2 linked regions of the Cricetulus griseus genome follow. The protein of the gene in region 1 interacts with the protein of each later gene in a pairwise test. Links are inferred from orthologs where the notes say so. Each region holds a gene or a part of one and is shown in the gene's direction. Other genes may lie near its edges.

Region 1 (3,500 bases):
GCCAAAGGGCAGATTTTTGGAAAATCCTTAAGAAATTCAACTTCATAAAAAAATACACCTTTAGTTTTGGAAAATTTTATAAAGAGTGAAAGAGACCATATTAATAACTGACTATGAAATCTGCCTCTGTTGTTTAAAAAAGGACATTGATAGATTCTTGATTTCTTGCCAAAGAAGCAATAGTAAATAATTCTTTTTAAGAAGAGGGAGTGCAATTCTCAAAGTCCACCTCAGACATCTCACAATGCTTATAACTAGTTCCTTGGGTATAGTGCCCTCTCCTGGACTCTGCCAGCACTGCACTTGTGTGCACATACACGCATACACGCACATGTACATGTTTAGAAATAAAAATATGGGTCTAGAGAGATGTCCTAGCAGTTAAGAACACTTTCTGCTCCTGCATAGAACCTGGGTTCAATTCCCAACACCTACATTGCAGCTCACAGCCATCCATAACTGCAGTTTTGGGGGATCTGATGAACTCTTCTGGCTTCCTCAGGCACTACACATATGTGGTACACAGACATACATGCAGGCAAAACAACCATACGCATAAAATGAAAATATATCTTTTTTAAAAAGCAGCAGCAGTGGTCATAACCAAGTTTTACGAATTAATGCCTTGGGATTTTCTTGAAAATGCTTTCTCAAGAATGAAGTGACTAAAATGTTTCTCTTTCAACTGGGGGCATCTGAGCAATCCAGGCTTCTTCCTTGTTTTCCAATTTCAGGCTCATTAGAAGTTAATGGAAATAAAGTGCGTAAGAAACTAATGGCTCCAGACATCAGCCTGACCCTGGATCCTAGTGAAGACTCTGTGTGGTCGGATGATTTGGATGAAGGTGGAGAGGTTGACCTGGAAGGCTTGGACACCCCATCAGAGAACAGTGATGAATTTGAGTGGGAAGGTAATTCACTACTTTTATATGAGCTTTGTGAATGGATGTTTATATTACACAATGTTTACCATAGTGTTCTCTTTAGGAAAAGTAGTATATGGCCAAATCTTAAATGTGAAACCTGCTAAAATCCATTGAAGGTTTTTGTTTGAAATATGTTATTTTTTCTACAGTTCCTAAGTTTGTTACTAAAAGTAGAAGATTCTGAAAATACTTGAAGTTTTCAAGACTATAGCTTATGCAGGTAGCTTTCATTTAGTTTAGTATTGTTTTTCCTTACTTGCCCAATATTGTAAAGTTTGTTTTTTCATAGTTGCTTCAAAAGTATTGCCTAATATTCCATTATATTCTTGTCAGGAAAAAAGTCCTCTAAAGAGACATATAAGGACTGTACTAAAAAACACCTAAGGGGCTGGGCGTGGTGGTGCATCCCTTTAATCCCAGCACTCCAGAGGCAGAAGGGTCTCTGAGTTCCAGGCCAGCCTGGTTTACATAGCGAGTTCAGGGACAGCCAGGACTGCATAGATCCTGTCAATAATAATTGTAATAGTAATACATACATAAGGATTGGCAGGAGAGTTGCTGAGGACTGCTGCACTTATAAACTGCTTCCTTGAAGTAGTATGTGCTCAGCCCCCATCAGATGTTATCATTCTAATTACTTTGTGTTCAGAGGCATTGCTGTGTGTTTTGTTTTGTGTGCTTTCTAGAATTAAGCAGTAGTTGATTATAATAGCTAGACAAATGTTAATAACCTTTTGTTTCATCTTTAAAGTGAATTTTGCATCAAAACTGTACTTAAAGCAGTAGACACTTTATAGGTAATGAGTGATACTCTGAAGCTTTTTTTTTCTTCTGTGTTTTACTGGTTCAGTAAGCAGCCCAGTAAGAAGCAGTCTTTTATCCAGACACTGAAATAGTTTTCTGCCTGTGTGTTTTGTCTCTTCTCTCCTTAATGCTGCTGTAGTCATTGCCTGGAAGGATATTTTCCGTTAACAGCTTTGTCTTGGAAACAACTAACATGCAGTAGGTTTCCCCTCCCCCATCTTTTGGTAAGGACTATCATACTAAAGTTTTGAAAATCATTACTTCATTTTCAATCAACTAAACTGCAATCTGCAAATACAAATTGTATGTAATCATTGGTGCTTTGGCTAGTGTTAATTTATGTAAATTTTTGCATGTGTTCTTCAGAAAAGTACATATCTGCTTTATAAAACTGATCAAACGGAAAATGATCACTGAGGAGTTAACCACTTTCTATCTTTTATTACAGTGTTTTATAATTAATGTAGGTGCTATAAAACAATTGGCTCTCTGATGGTTACTTGAAGTAAGGTGTTAGTAACTCTAATGGACACTGTTGTCCTGAATGGGATCTGAGAAGGCATATGAGGCCAGCGTACATAGTAAGACCTCGATGGCTCTATCTTCCCTAAGCCTGTTGTAAATGATGCACTATAACTTGGTGCTTTGTTGAATTGGACAATAGAAAGTTCTGGTAAACTGATTTTAGAGACATAAATTGGACTTAAGTAAGAACAAACCTTTTCTTGTTATGTGGATGATAATTTCAGCTGGTGTACTGAAAATTCTTTGTAAATAGTTGGATGTGGTGGTGTTCACCTGTTCTCCCAGATACTGGGAGACTGAGGCAGAATCACCTGAGCCCATGAGTGTGAGGCTGGGTTGGGGAGCATAGCAGAACACCCATAAGAAAACAGAAAAACTTGGAATAATCTAGATAGTAAAGTGGTTAACATACACTTTTGATTTTTATTTTGTAAATAACAGTTTGTGATTCAAAAGACTTTTATTTTAACAGATGATCTTCCCAAACCCAAAACTACTGAAGTCATTAGGAAAGACTCAGTTACTGAATACACAGCCACAGAAGAAAAGGAGGATGGACGCCGCTGGCGCATGTTCAGGATTGGAGAACAGGACCACAGGGTGGATATGAAGGCAATCGAACCCTACAAAAAAGTTATTAGCCATGGAGGTAAGGGTTAGAAGGATGCTCAGAATCTTTAGATGCAGTGTCCAAAATCTAAAGGCTGTCAGAAAATGTTGCTGGAGATTGAAAGAATAGTGAAAATTTCTCAAGTCATTTTGAGAATGTAAAAGGATTTTTGTTCTTTGTTTTATTTGGGGGGGGGGTTGGGTTTTTTTGTTTTGTTTTGGGGTTGGTTTTTTTATTGGTTTTGTTTGTTTGTTTGTTTGAAACAGGGTTTTTCTATGTAGCCTTGGCTGTCCTGGAACTCACAAAGATCCACCTACCTCTGTCTCCCAAGTGCTGGGATTAAAGGCATGTGCCACCACTGTCCTGCCATGTTTTAACTTTTTTTAAGTGGATGGATAATTTACGTATATGTGTGCCTGAAGACCACCATTTGTGTGTCTCATGTCTTCATAGAGGCCAGAAAAGGAGAGCATCAGATCCCCTGGAACTGGAGTTAGAAATGGTTTTGAGCTGCCATGTGAATGCTGGGAATCAACCCTGAGTCCTCTAGAAGAGCAGCCAGTGTTCTTAACTGCTGAGCCAGCTCTCCAGCCCCAGGAATATGAAAGACTTGAAGTAAAATGATAAAAGTTCAA
Region 2 (3,500 bases), on another chromosome or scaffold:
AATACAGCTTTGTATTATTTCTGATTTTATTTATCTTGAGATGGTGTCTTGCTGTGTAATCTATACTGGCCTTAAGCTCTTCATCTTCCTGTCTCAGCTTCCTGAGTGCCAGGATCACACAGGCATACATACCATCATGTCAGGCTACTTGTGATGCTCAGTGCTGTTAGCCCCTATGTGTGTGTGTGCCCCTGTGTGTGTGTGTGTGTGTGTGTGTGTGTGTGTGTGTGTGTGTGTGTGTGTGCCTGCCCCTGTGTGTGTGTGTGCGCCCCTGTGTGTGTGTGTCTGTGTGCCCCTGTGTGTGTGTGTGCCCCTGTGTGTGCCCCTGTGTGTGTGTGTGTGCCCTATGTGTGTGTGTGTGCCCCCCTGTGGGTGTGCCCATGTGTGTGTGTGTGCCCCTGTGTGTGTGTGTGTGTACCCCTGTGTGTGTGTGTGTGTGTGTGTGTATGCCCCTGTGTGTGTGTGTGTGTGTGTGTGTGTGTGTGCTGCATATCTCCATGCTTGGCTCTGTGTAAGCACTGGGTACAGGCATATCTCCATGCTTGGCTCTGTCCAAGGGCTCACTGGGTGAAGGTGTAAGCACTGGGGACCCAAAATCGGGTCCTCATGCTTGTGCAGCCCTTGACCCACTGAACATGTCCGTGGTCCCTTATTTCCATCTTTTAGCAAAACTTCTCTGTCTAATGAGGCCGCACTCATGTCCTGTGTCCCAGCCCCTGCTTCCTTTACAAACTGTCTGCCATAGCTGTCAGGTCAGGAGGTTGGGGTGAGACTCTGAGATATGCCCAGCACAGACCAAGTTTTGCCTGCAGGGGAATGTGCTGACCACTGGGTAGACTAGCCACATACTTCTGTGGCCATGCCAGCAGACTGTGCACGGTCAGGCTCTGGGAGAATGCTCTGGGGTTCTGTAGAGAGCCGTAGGGGCTAACAGCACTGAGCACCAGGCTGCTGGAGTAGAGAACATATTTTAGAATGTTAAATCACTGTCCTTAGTGTCCTGCACCAAAGCATTCCTGGAGAGGTACCACATTGTCACTAAAACACACAGCTCAGACATGCTGTTGGTAGTAGCTGTCCTGGGCATTGCACATAATGGTTCTGTGTTTGTGTATTCCTTACAGTCCTACTGTCACAACCACTTTGAAAAACCTTGGAGCACTTTACCGACGGCAGGGGAAATTTGAAGCTGCAGAGACATTGGAAGAAGCTGCCATGAGGTCACGTAAACAGGTGTGCTTGACACTTCTGCAGACTCGTGTGTTGGAACATGATGACCTTTTATGTGGTTGTAATTGAAGGCTTGATTTTGGCTCAGGCTCTGTGAGGACACTTGTCACATGCATAGGACTATGGACTTGACTGCAGGAAAAAAGATCTGTCTGTCTGTCTATCTTATCTATCTACCTACCTACCTATTTTTTTTTTTTTTTTTATTTATTTGGGAGGCAAGGTTTTGCGTTGTAACCCTGATTGGTCATACATATACACACACAAATAAAAAAAAAATGAACTATAGAGCTGGAGAGATGGCTCAGGGGTTAAGAGCATTACCTCCTCTTCCAAAGGTCCTGAGTTCAATTCCCAGCAACCACATGGTGGCTCACAACCATCTGTAGTGAGATCTGGTGCCCTCTTCTGGCGTGAAGACATACATGCAGGCAGAACACTGTACATAATAAATAAATCTTAAACAAACAAACAAAAAAAATTAAATGTAAAAACATCTGGTTCTGGGCGTGGTAGTGCAAGCCTTCAATCCTAGGATTTCAGTGGCAGAAGCAGGAGGATCTCTGTGAGTTTATGGACAGCCTGGTATAAATAGTGAATTCCAGGCCAGTGAGGGCTACATAGAGAGACCCTGTCTCAAAGACAAAACAAAACAAAAAAACAGACCCCAAAAGAAAAGACAAAAAAAACAAAAGAACATGGATTTGCTGGGCATGGTGTGTCATATACCTGTAATCCCAGCACCTGGCAGTGAGTCTGAGTCCAGCCTTGTCCTACATAGTGAATCCCAGCACAGCCAGGGCTACGTAGAGAGACCCTGTCTCCAAGACAAACCAGAAGGAAAGCCTGGGTATCAATGTGGCCTTTTCATGCGCTTGTGTCCTGTGTTTTGATTGGATGCTCTCATCACCCTCTCATAGTGTTTTTTCCTTTAACTGTATTTTATGTGCATTGGTGTGAAGGTGTCAGATCCCCGGGACTGGAGTTACAGACAGTTATGAGTTGCCATGTGGGTGCTGGGAATTGAACCCGGGTCCTCTGGAAGAGCAACCAGGGATAGGACAGGTCCTGTCATAGAAGCATCCTGTCACACATCACAGGGAAAGATGGGAAGGTGCCAGGGTTACTTGTTATTATTTGAGACAGACTGGTCAGCCTTGAGCCTCTGGTCTTCCTGCCCACCCCTCCCAAGTGCCCAGTGTGCATTCTGGGCAAGCACTTAGCTGTGTTTCTAGTCCAGATGCTCTAGTGTGGCTATCGTTACCTGGAGCTCACTATTTGCTTACAGCACTTGTTTTGTTTTAAATGTAGGCCTAACATAACCAGGCTGGCCTTGAACTCTTCATCCTCCTCTCTGCCCTCCAAGTGCTGAAAGTACCGGGGTTCATTACACCAACTTGCCTACGTGGGGGACAGTGTGCAGTCCTGTGTCAAAGCTCAGGAGCTTTGGGGACCCGTAACTCACACCTCTCACTGTGACCATAGAAAGCCCAAAGCCCATCCCCAGGAACCACTGATCTGAGTTTGTTCTGGCAATTTAAGGATTGGTATCTTTGGGGCCACTGAGATAATGAGGGCTCACTGGGTGAAGGTGCTTGCTGTGCAGGCTTGACAGCCTGAGTTCTGTGCCCCATAAACTTACATGAAGGTGGAAGGAGAGAACCTACTGACTCGGTGATGCCCTCTGACCTCTCCCGCATGGCTCTGTGGCGGGCAACAGTAAATAATTAGAGGATAATAAAGTGCTCAGAGTGCAGGTAGAGCCGGCGTTGGTGCCGCACGCCTTTAATCCCAGCACTCGGGAGGCAGAGGCGGGCAGATCTCTGTGAGTTCAAGGCCAGCCTGGTCTCCAGAGTGAGTTCCAGGATGGGCTCCAAAGCTACACAGAGAAACCCTGTCTCGAGAAACAAAAACAAACAAACAAAAAGTAAAGGAATCTGACTCTTTGTCCCAGGTCTGAGAGGTCTTCCGAGATGTAAGTGCTAACAGGTCAAACCGCTCTCCCCTGCCTGGCTCACAGGGTCTTGACACTGTTCACAAACAGAGAGTGGCTGAAGTGCTGAATGACCCTGAGAACATGGAGAAGCGGAGGAGCCGGGAGAGTCTCCACTCGGACGTGGTCAAGTACGAGAGTGGCCCTGACGGCGGGGAGGAAGTGAGTATGAGCGTAGAGTGGAACGGGGTAAGTACAGCGCGCGGCTGACGCGCTCGGGCTGCCGCCCGCCTGCCCCCAGCAGCACTTGCTGGCTGTTCTGTCTCATGCTAGATTC

What was found.
Region 2: the proteins of Bnip2 (region 1) and Klc1 interact in binary tests that used the Homo sapiens proteins (3 or more experiments, as listed by UniProt). The two-hybrid records come from large-scale screens. The link is inferred for Cricetulus griseus from reciprocal best matches to the Homo sapiens genes BNIP2 and KLC1.

Annotation. Positions count from the first base shown.
Region 1 is NC_048597.1:181,531,375-181,534,874, forward strand, and holds part of Bnip2 (BCL2/adenovirus E1B 19 kDa protein-interacting protein 2), read left to right. Parts: intron 1-734; coding exon 735-911; intron 912-2,727; coding exon 2,728-2,904; intron 2,905-3,500.
Region 2 is NC_048598.1:182,250,817-182,254,316, reverse strand, and holds part of Klc1 (kinesin light chain 1), read left to right. Parts: intron 1-1,124; coding exon 1,125-1,233; intron 1,234-3,250; coding exon 3,251-3,412; intron 3,413-3,500. UniProt on the Homo sapiens protein: Kinesin is a microtubule-associated force-producing protein that may play a role in organelle transport. The light chain may function in coupling of cargo to the heavy chain or in the modulation of its ATPase activity.